Linked DNA regions of Neodiprion lecontei. The protein of the gene in region 1 purifies or fractionates together with the protein of each later gene. This does not show direct contact. Links are inferred from orthologs where the notes say so. Each region holds a gene or a part of one and is shown on either strand. Other genes may lie near its edges. The genes, in order: transcriptional adapter 2B, transformation/transcription domain-associated protein, transcription initiation protein SPT3 homolog and SAGA-associated factor 29.

Region 1 (4,586 bases):
GAAATGCCAATGTCTAGGTAAAGGTGTAAGCACCTTCTGTCAATCTGGTTTGATTCTGTATCTTTGAAGAGGAAAATAAATAGCGACAGAAGTATTTACTCTGTTCGACTTTCAAGGATCGGCCAGTGACTGAGAAATGATGTGACTAATGTTATTCAATGATAAACTTCCACACACTGAGTTTAGTATACAGTTACAAACATGTAATATTACAAGTTCTACAATTTTTACAATACCGAAAAGAGAGTAACAAGAAATAAAAATCCAAACGAGAACTTACAGATTTCTTTTCAGTCCAATGATCCGTCGTTTCTGTTTGACCTTGAGTCTGTGCCATGACTTGTTCGAAATGGGCACATTCTTCATGCCTGGTGATACCGTTCTCTCTGTAACGACTAAGCTCGGTTAGCCGTAGTCGGAGCTCTCGTTCCCTTTCCAAATTAGTCAAGAATTGTTCGTGCTCCTGCGCTGTGTAGAATTGGGCAAACGTTCGCATTCTATCCCGAAATTCTCTGTATGTCAAATAATGAGCAACAATGGAAATGAAAGACAAGCATAAATTCAAGGACATTTAATTTAACAGCAAATATAACAATTACCTGAGTGATCATAAATTGTGGGTTAATTCGTTTGTTACCTGTCTTCTTTGCTCTGTTTTTTCTTGATCGCTCTATCTTTTCTTGTCGAAGCAAAGAACGAAGAGACAAGTTGATAATCTCTAACGACACGTTTTCTTCTTGCTCGTTCACGTAAGTTATTTGTGTACATGTCAACTTGGGCTAGCTTTAGCGCAATGTCAAGGTCATCGTCTTCGGCAGGAGTGAGAAACAACGAAGAAACCAAAGACTCTGCCTCGTGTTTATAATCCTGTAGAAAAGAAAGAAGTTATTCATGTAACGAAGCTGTTGAAGATGAACGAAATTTTTTTTCCATATGCTGAACATACGATATATGGAAGATTTGTAGCGCGTTGCTAGAAATTGAGATACTCGCTGTAAATAACACACCCTTTCAAAATCATCCCGCTGTGGCATATAGCCGAGCTGAGCTGCTTCTTCTGGGGTGATATCTAACGGTGGCAGTCGCGAGGTCAAGTCTGGCGATAGTGGCCCATAATCAGAGCTAGTTTGGTCCGTCAGGTTTGGTCTATAACTTTCAGTCGAAGGCCATGTCTGTTTACCGATATTTCCATCAAGATATCTGGCGATGTATTCCTCTTTAGCCTCTGCATAAAGAAAAAAAAAAACAATCGCATGAATAAGTAGTATGTTATGTAGCAATGATTTAAAAGTGTTTGCAGGATATTTTCACTCAGTTCAAAGTTCCGCAGCAATCGCTGAGCTGATATTAATTATCATATTTTAAACAGGGGGGGCTTGGTATACGTTGTAGGTAAAAGTAATGAATTTTGCAAGAAAAGAAACCTGAATCTAAGAAATAAATTCAGCTACAAAAATAACGCTCTTTTACCATCAGGTGTTCTTGTTTCAATATGTTTACTTATATCCTCCCAATTTCCAAAACCAAACTGTTCAATCGCATCGAGAAGTCTGAGTTGTTCTCTCGCTGTCCAACTTCCTCTCCCGCTAAATATGCTAATTGTACCAGAATCCTGAAAAATAAACAGAATTAAATATAACGAGACATTATTACAAAACACCATGATAAAATATGCATGTAAAAATTTGTTGAGCTCAAAGAAATGCTTACCATAAATTGATAAGAATGGTCATTTTTGTGCTGTCCTATTTCAGCACCAGCAGAAAAACACTGTAAATGAAATCACTTTCATTGTGTGACAGTGTGTATGCTGAATTTTAATTGAAGTAAAGCAAAATTTTTCATCTACAAGAAGATAACAACAAATCTGCAGGATAAGTTACCACGTAGACTGTATACAAAGATTTAGGAACAAATGAAAAAGGCAAAACTGTTGTGCACGTAAGTTCTGTACAACATAATTGCTTTGCAAAAGATAATCAGGCTGAAAAGATGCGGTGAGAATCACATATCCAGAGATTTAACGCATTGGCGAGCACAACATTACAGCAAGCATTTATGATTAAACTGAAAATAATTTTCATTCTAGATGAATATCGGATTACATATTAAGAAAAACCATAGTTCACCGATTTTTGTTTCTCAACAGTAACGATATTTCCGATTGAGTAAATTATCCTAGTAAAATGTGTTATTTTGCAAAGAGAATAAGGAAGTTGTCAAGGTAAGAAGATTTGCTATCCAAACTAAATATCTTGAGAAATCGTGGATCCGTAACGAAGCGTAAATTAATTACACACATGTAGCGGCGTTGCGAATTTCCCGCTCATCGCTTGTTGCGATGTCGCAAATACAACGGTGACGAGCGAAATTATCGAAGCGCGTCGTCTTTCAAGGCCTGAGTCAAGGGTGGGGAAAGAGGGAGAGAGAAATAAAAATATTTGCCGTTAGCAGGAGGCAAAATCTGGCGAAAAGTTTGAAGGGGAGGTGGGCAGTCGGTCGCGAGGTCACATGACTCGACTCCCGAGCATCAGGGCTGAGGGCCCCCCAATCCCCATTCGTTTCGCCCCTGGGCCACTTACGACTTACCTGTAAGCACAGATCAAAGTCGGCACATTCCACGCATTTAACACGCAACCCAGCGATGTCCTCCTGGCAATATGTGCAATTGTACTTAGCGTAGAGATCTGAGAACAATATTTAGTCATTAATACGAACCGAGCTCGACTCAGTTCGGTTGGAATCGATCGAAAATGCAATCCTTACAACGAAGGGACCTACGTACCCGCCATTATTGTTCTATGGCGTTTATTTCCAGAACGATCGCTAGTGACGTCACCACATCCTAAGGTCAACCGAAAATAACCATAAACTATTACAGCGAATCACGCTCATTTTTTAAAACAATATCAAATCGAGTACACGATGTATAGTTGAAAGACACTTCGCTCATCCGTATTTATTTTTCGAACAAAAACCACCCGAAATATACTACCTGATTGAAAAAAAATGTTTACGAGTGTAGCGTCGTTTCGGAAATGCGCATGCGCTACGCTAACGCCCCTCGTTGCATCGCTCAGGAACGTACTATGTATGTATGGTACAAAACGCCTAGCTGCCAGCAACAATTTATTCCACAATTGCCAACCTGACCAATCCTATATTCGCACGATTCAAACGTCCGTTTTCGCCCCGACGCTTCTCGGAAAATGTCATAATTATCACCCTACGAACACGCGAGAGAAAAGGTTCAACGTTTACTTCGATTAAGAGTGAGTATTCTTATTAGTTCCAAGTTTTCAAAAAAGTTTATACATTCGTACTAATCACGTTGCGTTGATTTCGCGACAAAAGAAATTTCGTACTTCAGTTGTTGCTCAAAAGCGCAGCGCGACATAAAACGTCCCTGTTTTTTTATTAACTATTTTCTAATTTAAAGTATAATCCAGTATAATATTCATCGAAATGTCAATAGTCACAAGTTGTACGAGTAAAACTTCCGAGATTTCGTTTTTGCGATTTGTTTCGCTTGTCAAAATCTACCCCAAGTCGTATCCGAGCACATCATTAGGACGCTTGGACTTGCTGCGAAAGTCCAGCTCCTGTTCGGGCCCACGAAGATTCGAAGATACCCCCAAGTTTAAAGCGTTTAAGGAAAAGCAGGCAAAAATGCAGGTTCGATGTTAGCCTCCTCTCATTAGTTACAATAATTTGACTGTTACCATCACTTTAACCATTTGATCTTGAATTGTTTTTGTAGCAGGATAAGACTTGTAACTTTTGGGAAAATTAAAAGCAATTCATTGGTTGTTAACTGCCTTTCTTAATATTTTCAGTGTGACGACGGATATCCGATACATTTGAAAGGTGGTGTTTTAGATAAAATATTGTACCATGTTACTGTAGGTGGTGTTATTATAGGCCTTGCTCAAGGCTTTTGGTTTATTTATTGTTGTGCAACGAAGAAAGCCGTGGATTGAATTTTGTTAATCGTCGTTTGCAATTTGAATTGTGTAAAAGCAGTTTATCACTAATATTTATTGATGTTATTAACATGTTAACAACAGTTTTTAAAAGAAATAGATACAGTTATCTTTGAGAATGAATACACGTTTAAAGTTAAATGTCTTTACTTTTTGTAACACAATGATACACAACATTTCATTTCTTATATACATTTTCCACGATATATACCGTATGTACGATTATTCAGCTTACTTACTAAAGAATTTAGGAGCTCATTTTTAAGGCACTTTGAAAGTATTTGAATAAAAGAACTTCGTTTGTTTCAACTTTTATAACATATTTGATAATTTGGTGTAAACGACGGTGAAAAATATTCTGAGAAAAAATGAAACTTACAGACCATTCAAAGTTTGCTGATTCCATTTTTGATTCGGAAAAGTAGCATCAGAGCTACTCAACTGGTATTCAGGTTGAAATATAAGCAATGGTTCAAATTGTAAACTTTGGTATCACAGAAACATATTTACATATTTTTCTTGGCGCATTGCAATTCACTGGAAACAGTCTGTATTCACTAGTTATATATTATCATGGTATCAAGTATTCAAAACTTTGTTTTC
Region 2 (4,953 bases), about 10 Mb from region 1:
AAAAAAAAAAAAAATTAAGTAGAATGTTTCACCACAGGGTGAATGTCTTGTGGAAGTAAAATGCGATCGATCAAGAGTCTCTCCTGAAATCTTAATGCAAATATACATATAAGAAAATCTGGAACTGAAGTTTTTGTTATTTTTTTTTGTTGGATAATATATATATAGATATACATATATATTTATTTGTAAAACATTATTAAAGAGAAAGAGAGCATATAGTGTGTTGTCACGTAAAATTTAAATTAATTATAAATAGTATCTTTGTATTGCAGAACGGTTGTTTTGTTGTGAATATTTTTTTTCCGCTACATTTTGTTTCTTCAAATGCATTGATCTGAACCCACATCATCGATTCAATTACGCAGCTACACCGAGTTATATCCTGCGACATTGTCATCAGCCGTTGTCGCCGTCTTTGTCATCCTTATTAAAATGCAAGGTTATTACATGTACCAAGGCGAATGGCAAAATATTTACGAAGTGTAAACATTTGAAATATTGAAGTTTGAAGGAAGCGTGAAAAAGTGAGAGAAAGTGAAAGAGAGAATTAGAATAAATAAATGAAAAAATAAACAAATAATTATACAAATTCGATATTCGCTAAAAGACAGAAATAAATATTACTATAAATTCCGTATTTCATGTCTTAAAATTACAATTGCATTTTCGTTTCTTTCCCTTAGCATATTGTATATAATTTATGAATGTCTATAAATTCATCTCAATATATCAACGATTATAATAATTTATCAGTTTGCCAATAATATGTATATTATCTATGCTCAACTCTTAGCTTGAAAATTATGCACCAGGCATAACACGCCAATATAAGTTTTGCTACAAGCCAGGTATTCTCATTGCCGATAACTAGATGGAACGAGTACGAATCATATAATTGTAAGGCAGCCTACTGATCCGCCTCTTCATCAGTTGCATCGTTTTCCTCGACAAATGCATTGTTCTTCCTCACAACGTGCACTAGATCGTGCGTTACCCTCGCTATTCTAGCCGCCGCCTTGAATTTTGTCGCTGCTCGCTGCTTCTCCATCTTCTTTTTCCACTGAAAGTAAAAATTACATAATTAATAATATACAGGTTGGCTGTACACATGATTTGAATTTAATTTCGTTTCGCGGTTTTGAAGACGCGCAACTCGAAATGAGATATATGTATATGTATATATATATATATATATATATACGCATATTATACTCTTTGGCGGAACGAAGTTACCGACCGTACGGTCAGGACCGTATTTGTACGGTAATTTCGCCTCCTATACGGACACGCTAAATGTACAGTCATGGAAAAATTTTAGGAATTTAGGTCATTTTTTGGCTAGCCTCTGATATTGTAAAAGAATCAAGTACAGAAGTATAAACGGTCTCAGTAATTCACATTCCTGGTTATATTAGTTCAATTATTCTCCAAGACTCCAGCAACTGCTTCGTGTAATTGAAAAATTCACAACCTTTAGCGTTAGTGTGAAATATTTTTGAACGTAAAACTAACAATAATGTGGTTGAAACTTATCTGGTCCTTGAGAAAAGAAGCAACATTGTGGCAATTGTACGACCATAAAATATAAAGAACAAAAATGTACTCCGCGAAATCTTTGTACGGTCCTGAAATTTCAAAGTACGATTCATTTTCACATCGAGTACGACTTGTCGCCACCAGAGGGTTGCCAACACTGGGCCGGGAGCATAGACTTATAAAGATAGACTTAGCGCGCTTATGAGCCGCTTGAAGGCGGTAGAGGAGAATGAGGCGAAATTATACCCCTATATCTATAGCTGTTCCACTTCCACTGCTCCGTTGTCTTCCACCACGACGCCGATTGAAAAGCGAGAGCAGTACTCCCGGTATATCTCTGTCCTTTATATGTAATTGTCAGTGCCTCTTATAGGAACGCTCAGTCTATCGTTATAAGTCTATGGCCGGGAGGCGAACGAAGCAGATGGAAGATGCGAGTGCAAGTTATGTCGCACAATTTCGCGGCGTTCGGAGCCTGTACGGTATATTTGCGTTTTTATGTTCAATAAACAAACAAACATAGTGCGGAAAAGTAGACAATTGTGTTGTGCGATGTGAATTCGCTTGTGAAGGTGTGAACGAAATGTTTCGGAAGTACGAGAGACTTTCAACTATGTGAAAGGAGTTACCGAGATCGAGGTTAGGGTCTGCCGTGCGTCATCATACCGAAGAAGGTTAGTAACTATGTTATGTCGCTTCATTTCACCCACGATTCAATCCGAATTTTCACCCCTGCTCAATCTCCGATCTCGCGACGAATATTATAACACCTTTTTGTATATTCTAACTTCATCTCGCAATTTTTTTCTCCGTCGCGTTCATAACCTCTAATAAACATGCGCTTTTCTTTATCATCTCGTTTCACCTGCTCGTCTCGCGACGGTAAGTTCAACAAGTAATCCTTCATTTCTGGTTTCTGCGGGTCTGCGATTGCCAGCACCGATACACATCCATCAACGGTCCCCAGTACTATGCTTTTTCCATCGTACGTGCTGTCGATTGCGCTCAATTCTGCTTGGACTCTGTAGTTGGCTATCATCTCGCAGTCTGAAGATCTGTGGGAATAAAAATGGAATTAAAGCATTATTTATTGTTGAAGTAAATCATCTTGTTATGTATTTGTCAGAACTATTACTTTTGAATGGTTTCTTTACCTGAATACTCTAATTGTTTTGCGACCACTGTGATAGTAGAGTACGTAGTCATCCGTTCTGTTGAACATTGAAATGACGGTGAAAACACCCTCAGCAACTTTTGGTATGTAGGTCTTGACGGTAGTTCCTTTCTTCAGTTCGATGAGATCGAGACCACCCCTGTTTAAAATAAAAATTACATAAACTGCCACGAGATAAGGAATTGGTAATTGAACTACAAATTTTTTACCTGCTGGGAGCATATAAAGTGTGTTTGCCATCCTTGCTGATATTCCCGCTCCACTTGGGCACCGATCTGATGATTTTCTTCTTGTTTATGTCCATGATGCTTCCTTTATCCGAGCCGATTATACCAACCCAATGCGCACGGTGTGGCATTGGTACTATGCTTGTTATGTCTTTGAGTCCCGGTATTTTAACCGGTATTCTATTGACCAGGACCCCTGTTTTTGCGTTGTAAACAATCACACAGTCTCGGTTACCTTTGTCAGCTGCCGGTACGACTAGGTTCGCACCATCCGAGGTCAGAACAGCTTGTCTGAACGGTACTCCTGTTTGACTTTTCACTGGATATTCCAACGAGAACATTGTTCTTCCATCTATTGAGTAGAGTTAAAATTAGTTTCAATTTGGTTCCTTATACACTGGATGTAGTAGACTTTACACGCTGATCTTTGTGAACCTAGCACCCGACTTGAAAAAACCTAACTATTTTTTTGTTGATTCTTGTAGGTTTTTGTAGGTAGTTGTTTGTAGTAAGAATGATTTCGTTTGTAGTAGCGCCAAAAAAAAATATAAGGGGTTGAAAAAATGTCTGCACCCCATTTTGAAAAAAATCGAATTTGTCGGTAGTTTTCCGTACAGAATCGTTTGTAGTTGATTGTAGTGAAGATATTTTACTTTGTAGTAAAAAGGAAAGAAAAATACATTTTTTTTTTTTTTTTTTTATTTATAGCTAGAATTTCTGTGGCCCTGCTGTCAACTAATGTTTCGGAATCTTTTGCAGTTGTTTGTAGTACAATTTTTTTCGTTTAAAATTCCTCCAAAATTTACTACAAACGTCCTACTCGCTTCGGAAACGTTTGTAGTTGTTTGTAGTACTGATTTTTTCGTTTGTAGTTCCTTGGAAATTTACTACAAACATCCTACTCGCTTCAGAATCGTTTGTAGTCGTTTGTAGTACCGATTTTTTCGTTCGTAGTTCCTTGGGAATTTACTACAAACGTCCTACTCGCTTCAATATCGTTTGTAGTTGTTTGTAGTACCATTTTTTTTGAGGAATTTTAAACGAAAAAAATTGTACTACAAACAAATACAAAAGATTCCGAAACATTAGTTGACAGCAGGGCCACAGAAATTCTAGCTAAAAAAAAACAAACTATTTTTCTTTCCTTTTTACTACAAACGAAAATATCTTCACTACAATCAACTACAAACGATTCTGTACGGAAAACTATCGATAAATTCGATTTTTTTCAAAATGGGGTGCTGACATTTTTTCAACCCCTTATATTTTTTTTTTTTTGCGCTACTACAACCGAAATCATTGTTACTACAAACAACTACCTACAAAAACCTACAAGAATCAACAAAAAATAGTTAGGTTTTTTCAAGTCGGGTGCTAGGTTCACATAGGTTACACGCTGTTTTCGATTACCTGGAATATTTCTGACGACAAGAGTAGCCGTTGTTCTAACGCTTTCAACGCCCGGAGGATTGCTCGGTCTTGATACAGCCAGGAATTTGCTGGTCTCAGGAATCAGCGTAAGCTGGCGTACGCCTGGCTGCTCTTCCTTAAATAAGACTTGTTCTGTTATTCTGTTCCATATCAAAACGTTTCCAGACTCGGTGGAGATGATATACCTGAAAATTTTTCCAAGGTATTATCACATCTTTGACAGTGGTATATATAGTCTACCCACTTTCCATTGTGTGTGATGCAGGCATGAGTCACTATCGCTCCCAGTGGGCTGTCAGCCAATTTGGAAATCAGACGTCCTGATTGGAGATTCCAAATCCCAACGCAGCCTCTGGTGACTGTAGCAGCCAAGTTGCAGTGCTCCGCAAGGCTGTTGGTGTATTAAAATGATGTTACATAGGTTTAAGTGAATATTTAGGGTCAGAGGGATGTTGAAGATTATTGTCACCTGATCGAGTCTATCTGTAGCTCGTGTCTGTCGATAACGTGAACCTGTTCGAATATATTGTTGATATTCCAAACCTTCACGCTTCTGTCTATACTCGATGTTATAACGCTGTT
Region 3 (4,673 bases), on another chromosome or scaffold:
TTATGGATTTCGATTGGACGACCATTTTCAAGTAGACAAGTTTTTTAAAGAGAAAATAGTTCTCAGGTGTTATTTCTTAGGCAATAATAAATTGTTACTGAAACAGTATTGAAACAATTTAAAAGAAATACTTTAAAAACCTCGACAAGCCGTAATTTATAAAATTAGGGCAGTTTGTAAGCGGTTGAATGTTTTAAAATGTTATCGATATGTTTAATAATAATGATAATTCGTCCAAACATAATTGACAAAATTGTATAGTTCTAATATAATAGATTTGTGGTCAATAATCAAAGGAGGAGGATACACAAATACACGTTGAATATACCTATATTGTAAATCATGACATATACTGTGATGCTGATAATGATCTTTGCATAATTGTAGATAAATTTTATTACACGACTGAAAAATAAAAAGAAAAAGAATATTGTAAGCATGTAAATCGTGAATTTTGTAAAATACGTAACAAGAAACTTCCAAAAGTAGTCATTACTTTTCTTTGTATTTTTATTCCAAATCTAGCGTTTTTCCTCAAATTATAATGTAGTACGTACGATGCTCTGTAATTTTAGAAATATACACTTGATATCATGATTATTGAGTTTAATGAGTAATATAGAACAAAATCGCAGTCATATATTGAAATATAAAACGGCCGTGGCTCGATAACAATAAATAAACTGAAGCTATTATCAACATCAACCCTGCAATTATTTTAATACAAGCTCGTACCTCCGCAGCCTATGTCTCAACAAGCAAGTAATTTTGGGTGCAGCGGACGCAGAGATGATCTGTAAAATGGCCCTGTAATATCCAGCTGTGGTGACCAATACCTCCTCAATGCCTCATTTATTTCCGACGGACTGATTGGCTTTATTACGACTCCCTGTAATCAAAGAGATTATATAATGGAACGCGGCCAATTATTTGTGACTCAGGTAAAGGAGAAGAAATCCATAATCTCGTTTACCATATTATGCTGATAAGGCTTGTAGGTATAGGGATTACAGTGGTTTAGTTTCAGCCTTTCAATAGCGTCTCCATGAATCTTACTCTGATCTTGTCGGACCACAAGCGCCAAGTCTATAATTTGCGCGACAGTTTCGTAAGCGAGATAGCTCAAAATTTGGTAGCCTTGTTTTGATATTTTCACATCATCTGTAAGCGTTGAAGATTCGATTTATGATTAGATACTGAACAGAAAAAAAATATAAGTATATACTAGAATGGTTTTTTTTTTTTCTTCTTACATAAACTTCGAAAAGTTAGTTTTGAGCCTCAAATTAAGCCTCGTGAAACCGAAGCTCGGTAGCAAAATTCTAAAAGTTTAGTTCGAGTGTTTGAAAAATTCAAACCGGATGAGTAACGTTTTAGAATTTTGCTATAGAGTTCCAGTTTTACGAGACTTCGTTTGAGGCGAAAAACTAACTTTTCAAAGGGTACATAAGAAAAAGAAACTTAAAAAAACCAACCTGATCTATACACATAATATGGTTGAATTCACTTTACCATCCGGGCATACCCAGTCGCTGAATTTGTGTCGCTGTTTGTTATTTGTGAAGGAAGCGTGCCGTGCCTTTGAGTATTCCACATATTGAATTTCATCCATTTTTCTAGTGACCATCTCTGCCCTGATCAGTCTGTTCTGTTTAACGATATCAAAAGTGCTTCTATTTTCGAGTAATTCCCCTGTATTGTCGATCAATTGAATGAAATCATGATAAGGACGTTTTCGCTTTGTCAAAACTTCGCCACCGTCAGCCTCGAAAAAATTCCCCATACTCTCTGGTTGAACCGTCTTGTGCATTATTGCTCGCAGCTCTTTTACTTCTGAAACAAAAAGAAAACAGATCAAATTGAAGGGATGTATTTAGTTTACAGAGATAGATTCACAACGTACCAAAATTAATAAGACATCAATGTAAGAAAAATACCACTTGCCTAGGTACTTCAACAGCCGTTGAACCTTGACCTTATCTTTGCGCATGAGAAAAATAAAATCTTCAGGTGTTATTATTCTATTCCCTCGCCTATCAGCAACTTCGCACGCCCTGTAAACAATTGCTCGCATTTGGTGCAGTACGACATCCTCGATTATTTTTGCTGACTCTAACAGCGGGGCTGAACTGTCGCCAAATCCATGCATCATTTGACGGATTTCTAACCAGAAAATAAGCATCAGCAATGTGGAGAAAATTGGATAATAGATAATGAACGAGCCTGCGGTATGGATTTCATATTCTTATGTCACAAACATAACCAACAGAATTCTACCTTCTTTATATTTATGTATACGTATATAATAAATTTATATATTTCACTCACCCGCTGTGTAGTTGATTGGTTCATTTTTAACGTCAGGTACACTTGTCATTTTTAAAGTAATTTTAATGTTTGTTTACGTTTTGTTGTTTCTTTACAAACACAAATTGCTAGTAGCAGACATCACATCGGCAGGTGTTCCAACCACTCTTGTTCCAAGTCTGTTCTAGGGTAGTAACCCTAGAATCTAAATGTTACTGGAGTACAGCGAAATCTAAAATAATAACGGCGCCTAGTGTCAGGCAGTTCTCATTACATGCAGTCATTACATATTCTGTGTCCAGTAGCCGCACATAATGCTATCTATCATCATAATTGCAAGACTTGCTATGCTGTACCCTTCGCTTTTTGCTAAATTCATTTCTGATATTTCCTGCTCTAGTGGGCAACCGTGCAGCTCAACCTTGAGTGGGGACTGTTTAAAGGTATTGTCGTTGTTTCGGCAAAGTATCGAATTAGTCAAATGTGTGTCTCGCGACACTCAAAATCGTCCTCACGCATGGACGCGCACTCGCGTGCAATGTTTACTAATTGCCGTCTCTGCGTCAAATCTCGCCGCTTGCCAGTCTCGCGACTCAAAACAGCAGCTGTATCTCATGTATTGTCTACTGTCTCAATATCATGTATGTGTGTAATCTATGTATTCTCTCGCTCTGTAAACCGTCAGTCTGCGCAACGTTCTCTTGCGATACTGTCTGTATCGCCGCATCAAGATCGATGAAAACCTCGCTTATCGTTAATCATTATCACTCTCCATGTCAACATCATTTCGTTTCATTTACTCTTGTCCTCAATCACTAGTTCGCGGATGCTATGTCGATGATCCATATCTTTTTGCCATCTCTCTAAACAGAATGGTATAAAATATTTTATTTTGCATATTTAATTTTATCCTTTAAAAAAATCCTTAACCCCTTGTAACCCCTTGTGACATTTCTGTAACAAACTAAATAAGATCCTAAAAAATCCATACGGAACGTATTAATGACAAGTCCTTAAATGACATTTATTTTAAAATTTGGTTAAAATAACGGTGCCATGGCCACCATTATGCGGCTGCAGCCGTCTGCTTGTGATGTTCAATTGAAACATCCGCATTAGCGCAAGGGACACAAAGAAAACTGCAGAAAACCTTTGGTCCGTGTGGCTGCCGGACCGAGTTCAAACTTCAACCCGCCAATTCGGCGCCTGAATGACGTGGCCCGTCTTACAATTTTGGCGAGCTACCGTGAAAGAGGCTGGGGATTTGAACTCAGATCCTCCCGTTCCGTAGTCTTTGACGTTACACGCTACGCTACTACGGCTGGTAATATAAATTAATTGTTTGGAGGGCAAAAGCCCAAAGATTTTATTGATGGACTATTTGAAAATTGAAAATTTAAAAATCCAACTTATTTATCTGATAGTGCAGCAAAAAGATTTATAAAAGTTATATGTATGTTATCGGATTATTTATATATTAGTATGGCATTTAATAAAGGTTGTAATGATGATATGAGTGAACCATCGTGATGTCTTTTATTTTTCTGACACTACCACATGTGCACGCGGACGAGTGGATTTCGCAACGTGAATTCTCAAAGACGAGAGCATACTTTTCAAATGTTTTGTGACGATATGATTCCTTATTCAAAATTGTTGTGGGTGAAATAGCAGTGGAAGATTACAGTTAAATCGAAAGTAACGAACAAAATTATTATAAAATATTCCGTCGTCAGCTGATACACGTATTCACACACTCTCAACGTCAACATGGCTACGGCTGAAACGCCTGCGATAGCATTTCGCTTGTTTAACGATTCACGGCACTTAGATACCACTGGAATTTATTTCACCCACAACAAAACAGCAGCTCAAATAGGTTAATTGCAGCTCCGTTGTTGGTTAAGCTCTATTTACTGATATTTTACGTTGCAAAAATTCAGTGATACTAGATGGCGTCATCATAACTTTTGGACTTGTCGCTGAGCTAGCGAGGCCTCGCGTGACGTCATAGCTAGCAATTTGAATCGTATTTTTCATCAATGTTTCTTTATGACGTTATCACGTCAAACTATCGTCCGTAAACCGACTTTACAGACAACCAATTTTTTTTTTTTTTTTATTATTATATAAAAATGGTGCTGAAGTCGTCCCTTCGAAAAAAGTTGACCTTGCTGCTGTTAATGGATTTGGTGCTTCACTTATCTGAAATAAAAAAAATTAAAAATGACCCTTAATTATTATGAGTATATCTATCGCAGGAACTAAAATGAAGAAAAAAAAATAAAAAATGATAAAATGGCATATTGTCAAAATTAGAAGTCGGAAAGCAGCCTGATTTTAACAACGTTTTGCCTATAAAAAAA
Region 4 (5,019 bases), on another chromosome or scaffold:
GTACTATCTATTGGTCCAGATCATTTGTCTTACAGCGATTTGTAAAAATATAAAATACGAACTCATGTCACTCATGAAATAAAATATCTGTCATTAACTTCATCATAATTCCAAATATTAAATAATTGTCAGGCACATAATTATTCAGGTATTGTTTTATGTATACAGTGAACGCCCACGTCGGTGACACCTTTTTCATATATTATACCTAAAAATGAGAGTGTGCTGGGAATCATAAGTTTTTTTGAAAAAAAAAAAAAAAAAAAAAAAAACAAGATATCCATATGGTAATTCACGCACTGAAGCCTAAATGAAACAAGCAGATAAAATAAAAATGAAAAACAAATTCATTGAACTACAATCTGAATGAATAGAATTATATCTCATAGTTTATAACTAATAACGAGTTAATCAGTTCATTGACCAGTTTTGTATGCATTTGGCGAAAGAAGTTGCTTTAAAGTTCTTTTTAGTTGAACATATAGTTTTTCAAAAGCAACACAGTTTCATGTCATTGCAACTTTGATTAAGTAGGAACGTTTTAAGGATAGATTTTTAATTTGATTTAAAGTTTAAAAAAAAGCGTTGAATACTACTTTGTAAGATGAGGATTGATCGCTATTACCGATATTTATACATAATGTACTTCCAAGTGCGTTTTGAGCACTAAAAAGTTCTGGTGTTCGTATTAGAGACCGAAAGTCTAATTAAACCCACATTACTCCCATGTCGCTAAGTATTTTGCAGGTGCGGTGCAGCATCACCTTCGATTCAGCGACATAACACGTATTCATGAACAATTTTTATTTCTCACTAGGAAAGAAAAATAAGAAAAGAAAATAGATAAGAGGAAAAAATATGTTAAAAAATAAATGTAAAATGATTGAATGGACAAATAAAGAATCCTTATGCGTAATTTTGAGTAACTGAAATAATAACTTTGATAGTATTTTGGAATGAAAAGCAAAGAATGTATATGTGCGCAATCTGTATAAAATGCATATACATCCTGGCACATAAAATTTCTCCTGTTTATTGATTATATACAGTTTGATGATATTACAAATATCTAATAACTAAAGCATCAATTTTTGTTCATTTAGCTACGTAATTTCTTCTTGTAACGAAAAAAAAATTTGATGGCAGTGAGATGATTGCATGATTTGAATTGTACAGCATCTCAATTAGACGTATATCTGCATTATTGCTTAGAAATTTCCGGTGTCATTACGATTCGTTACGGATTATAAATAATAACTCTGCTTCTCTTCAAGACTGACTTTTATTTTTCTTACTCTCCTTTATGGATATCACGTAACGTTGCGCAACATTTAAAGGTGGGGAGTATCCGTCCGCATATGTTGCATCTTCGAATAGTACTTCGTACTCTTCAGTTGCGGTAGTCGGTAGCTGATTAACAACAGCCTTGTAGAAGCATGTCGTTTGGGGATAGAGCGCCATAACTTTAAAAGCAAAATGATACTGCATTATAGAGCTGGGAATACAACTGTTATAACCGTAGTGAGTTATACCACAAGCATATAATCATACCTATAGATCCTTTGGGAAATAATGCATGGGCGTCGGTCTCCGGGTTTGCTCGCATCAGAGGCAAAGGGACAACACGACGCTTTGAAAGAACATGCCTATCTTTTTGTTCCTCATCTATGTCATCAACTTCATATTTACTCGTCGTTGGATTAAATTGAACGACTTCAGCAAGAATCCAATTCTCCTCCTCTTCGGATCCTTTTACCAGCGCGGCAACCATATCTCCCATCTCAAAAATATCATCAATATCTCATATGGCGTAAATTGAAATATTTTACAAACTATTACCTTCGTACCTTTGCTATGTACGTAACTTCAGCTGGAATTGCGCCACATAGTGGCGGTGGTTTTGCTCCAGGTGACTTACCCACATATAGTGGTAGAGTTTGTGCAGAGCTCAACAACATTTTCATCAATGCACCTCGTCGTATCGTTTCCTTGTTTCCTGCGTTACGCGCCTGTATAAGAACAAAGGTTTTAGTCATACTTTTCCAGCAATTGAAAAATTGGTAAACTGCATGAATAATATATCGCTAGCAAGCAGCTGTTTTCCAAGTGTTTCACATAGGTATGTACAAAGTATCTAGAGAGTATATTTTTGTCTGCAATGACATTATGGTGAATTAGAATCTGAATAATTTGGTGCCTCAGTTGTTCAAAAGAATGCAAAATTGTTACACATAATTGGAAGGACTTTATCTATGATTATGGCAATATTCTATCTGAATTTTATATTTCCCCTTGGATTTTTGGACAATCCCTGGTTTTCTGAATTTAATAATCCGTTCCTTTCACATTGACATACTTGAATTCTACGCTCATTTCGAATTGCCCTAATTTCGTTAATTTTTGCCAGCGCTTTTCGTATCAGCTCCTCTTCTTGTTGAGCATCAGAGACAGCAGCGCTATATAAACTTTTTAATTTCTGTTGATAGTAAGGAGAGACTTTATCATCTGGTGTTATTTTGTCATGAGCCTTGGTGATATTATTTAAATTATGTTCAGATCGATTGCGTTCTTCTTCTATCTCAAATATTAAATTGTATATGTTCTTGAGCCGTTCCTGCAACATCCATTGTTATTCATATGATATGAAACATTTGACAAAACTGATTTGAAATTATTTTGATGATGAGTTTGATTTTTGAATATGCTGCTGGTACCTGTATTTGATGTGCCGCTGCATCAGCTGTGAACGGCATCTTCGAAGGAGAGCTCCTGAAATGGTATTTGAGAAGTTCAGTGTTAAATTACCTTTTGATTTTAAAATAACCTAGATAGATAACCTAGATGTAGATGGTTTAAGAAAGTGAAAACAAAACACTTTGAAACTGAAAAAACAAGGATTCTGTATGAAACGGTAGGTCTGGTGGAGTTTTTCTTCTTGCTTGAACCAAAAGCTATTCAATGCTGTGAAGTCGCTATGTACTCTTTGTTTTGTTTACATAAATATGACAAACTATATTTAGAGGTTAGAATAGTTAAAGTCAACCTTAGCATTAAGAGCAACTGGAAGTGATTTTTATCACGTCACATGTAGCTATGTGTCAGTTTGTTTGGAGCAATCAGTGACTGCTTCGCCTGAATCATGATCGACGTAAATGAATAATTGCATAGATTAGGAATAGCATATCTTCTATACTATAAACACACGTACATGAGCTGAAGTTACTTGGCGCAGATCTTTATGAAAATATTATTTCTCTCCGACTGAGTCATAACTTGAAAATTATGCTATAATTCCAGTACACTAATAATTATATATCCATGAAGAGATATTCACAACTTTAACTCAGCGCTGTTGTGGCGCGTGAATATTATGAATTGTGAGACGATTGGTAAATGAAAACCAAACTGAATGATGAAAGCAGCATTGCCGGCTGAGGCGTATGTTAAAATTACCGAACAAAATTTATCATCACGACTACCTAATTGTCAGCCGGTCATACAGAAAGCAGTTTGGAGGTAAATTCAAAATTGAAAATGATCTTCGCGGACGAGTTTTACGTTTATTTTATGCAGTTTATTCGAATGACGACAATTTAGTGCAGTTTATTATAAGAATTCTTATGGCCTCATAGGTATGGAAACGAGAATTTAGCAACTAATCCTCTTCACCGAGCGGTAATGTGATTAGATTTTAATTCAGTTCTTCTTGGAACCATTAACTGAAGAAAATAAAGACGGATACCTCTGGGTAAATTTTTGTAACTAGTTTTCAGTAAAAATTTTTATCATCCAACTGTCTCAGAACGGCAGCATTATTAGCTGACGTTAACTGGAAAATATATATTTAGTCAACGGCAGACCATCGAAGGGCTCAGCCGCTTGAGTCTTGAATCGGCAGGAAAGATAAAGTGCGTATTTCTTTCTGACATGTGAAAACTAAAATCATTATACATCATACATCATATCATCATACATCATACATCATACATAGTATTAAAGTTTAAAACCAAAGTTTGGATGTTCGGATCTTCGGATGTTCAGAAAGTGACGTCACTCAAAATTTTTTTTCTCTCGACGTCATCGATCTATATAGCCGAAAATCAGCTGGCCGAATTCCTCAGTCTGGAAATAACCGCGCAGTAGAGCGGACGCATGAGAGTCGCGCTCCGCAAATTTCGAGTACCGGGTACTCTACTTCCGTGGTTCCTGCACTCCGGGTCCGCTACCTGGTGAAACTCGACTTCCAGGTCAAGTGCTGCGTAGTTTCTGGGCTCCAGGTCCGCTACGTGTTGAAACTCGACTTCCGGGACCAGCGCTCCGTAGTTTCTGCGCTCCAGGTCCGCTACCTAGTGAAATTCAACTTCCGAGATCAGCACTCCGTAGTTCCTGCGCTTCAGGCCCACTACCTAGTGAAATTCAACTTCCGAGATCAGCGCTCCGTAGTTTCTGCGCTCCAGGCCCGCTACCTGGTGAAACTCGACTTCCAGGTCAAGTGCTGCGTAGTTTCTGGGCTCCAGGTCCGCTACGTGTTGAAACTCGACTTCCGGGACCAGCGCTCCGTAGTTTCTGCGCTCCAGGTCCGCTACCTAGTGAAATTCAACTTCCGAGATCAGCACTCCGTAGTTCCTGCGCTTCAGGCCCACTACCTAGTGAAATTCAACTTCCGAGATCAGCGCTCCGTAGTTTCTGCGCTCCAGGTCCGCCACGTGTTGAAACTCGACTTCCAGGACTAGAATGCCGTAGTTCTGGCTCTCCAGGTCCGTGACCTGATGACTTTTGACATTCCGAACTAATATTCAAGTTTACAAGTTTGATTATTGAAAACGTCATATTTTGTGCTATCAACCCAAAATACATGCTTCAGATAACATTTTGAATCGGTAAAAAAACCGAACAACCAGGATCAACAAATTGCAATTAATGAGTGGTTGGCATTGTATACATAGAAATACATAACAATAACGTCGTTCAATTGGAGCTAACATTGCTGTGCGTAGTGTTTCAAATCTGTCAACACTT

What was found.
Region 2: the proteins of transcriptional adapter 2B (region 1) and transformation/transcription domain-associated protein purify together in Drosophila melanogaster (affinity purification with western blotting; 4 studies listed by BioGRID, with this or other methods). This does not show direct contact. The link is inferred for Neodiprion lecontei from reciprocal best matches to the Drosophila melanogaster genes Ada2b and Nipped-A.
Region 3: the proteins of transcriptional adapter 2B (region 1) and transcription initiation protein SPT3 homolog purify together in Drosophila melanogaster (affinity purification with mass spectrometry; 7 studies listed by BioGRID, with this or other methods). This does not show direct contact. The link is inferred for Neodiprion lecontei from reciprocal best matches to the Drosophila melanogaster genes Ada2b and Spt3.
Region 4: the proteins of transcriptional adapter 2B (region 1) and SAGA-associated factor 29 purify together in Drosophila melanogaster (affinity purification with mass spectrometry; 4 studies listed by BioGRID, with this or other methods). This does not show direct contact. The link is inferred for Neodiprion lecontei from reciprocal best matches to the Drosophila melanogaster genes Ada2b and Sgf29.

What each region holds. Positions count from the first base shown.
Region 1 is NC_060263.1:6,647,333-6,651,918, forward strand, and holds the start of transcriptional adapter 2B, read right to left. Parts: upstream 3,045-4,586; 5' UTR 2,793-3,044; coding exon 2,786-2,792; intron 2,688-2,785; coding exon 2,590-2,687; intron 2,544-2,589; exon of another isoform or gene 2,331-2,543; coding exon of another isoform or gene 2,301-2,330; intron 1,771-2,300; coding exon 1,711-1,770; intron 1,613-1,710; coding exon 1,471-1,612; intron 1,226-1,470; coding exon 1,008-1,225; intron 868-1,007; coding exon 638-867; intron 513-637; coding exon 281-512; intron 1-280. Other genes in the region: uncharacterized protein LOC107223641, read right to left, coding at 4,563-4,586. UniProt on the Drosophila melanogaster protein: Component of several Gcn5-containing histone acetyltransferase complexes that regulate nucleosome organization; involved in acetylation of histone H3, particularly on Lys-10 (H3K9ac) and Lys-15 (H3K14ac).
Region 2 is NC_060263.1:16,848,854-16,853,806, forward strand, and holds the start of transformation/transcription domain-associated protein, read left to right. Parts: upstream 1-1,950; 5' UTR 1,951-2,213; intron 2,214-2,404; coding exon of another isoform or gene 2,405-2,594; intron 2,595-2,693; coding exon of another isoform or gene 2,694-2,852; intron 2,853-2,922; coding exon of another isoform or gene 2,923-3,292; intron 3,293-4,350; coding exon of another isoform or gene 4,351-4,556; intron 4,557-4,615; coding exon of another isoform or gene 4,616-4,762; intron 4,763-4,840; coding exon of another isoform or gene 4,841-4,953. Other genes in the region: NACHT and WD repeat domain-containing protein 2, read right to left, coding at 911-1,063, 2,405-2,594, 2,694-2,852, 2,923-3,292, 4,351-4,556, 4,616-4,762, 4,841-4,953. UniProt on the Drosophila melanogaster protein: Part of the Tip60 chromatin-remodeling complex which is involved in DNA repair. Upon induction of DNA double-strand breaks, this complex acetylates phosphorylated H2AV in nucleosomes and exchanges it with unmodified H2AV.
Region 3 is NC_060262.1:4,441,966-4,446,638, forward strand, and holds transcription initiation protein SPT3 homolog, read right to left. Parts: upstream 2,844-4,673; 5' UTR 2,378-2,843; coding exon 2,329-2,377; intron 2,164-2,328; coding exon 1,945-2,163; intron 1,834-1,944; coding exon 1,513-1,833; intron 1,162-1,512; coding exon 974-1,161; intron 890-973; coding exon 752-889; 3' UTR 736-751; exon of another isoform or gene 564-735; 3' UTR 534-563; downstream 1-533. UniProt on the Drosophila melanogaster protein: Component of the transcription regulatory complex SAGA, a multiprotein complex that activates transcription by remodeling chromatin and mediating histone acetylation and deubiquitination. The SAGA complex predominantly acetylates histone H3.
Region 4 is NC_060260.1:35,361,392-35,366,410, forward strand, and holds SAGA-associated factor 29, read right to left. Parts: upstream 3,200-5,019; 5' UTR 3,052-3,199; coding exon 3,044-3,051; intron 2,770-3,043; coding exon 2,715-2,769; intron 2,615-2,714; coding exon 2,357-2,614; intron 2,010-2,356; coding exon 1,848-2,009; intron 1,781-1,847; coding exon 1,552-1,780; intron 1,464-1,551; coding exon 1,270-1,463; 3' UTR 501-1,269; downstream 1-500. Other genes in the region: skin secretory protein xP2-like, read left to right, coding at 3,413-3,516, 3,633-3,675, 4,181-4,757. UniProt on the Drosophila melanogaster protein: Component of both the SAGA and CHAT histone acetyltransferase complexes, which both predominantly acetylate histone H3.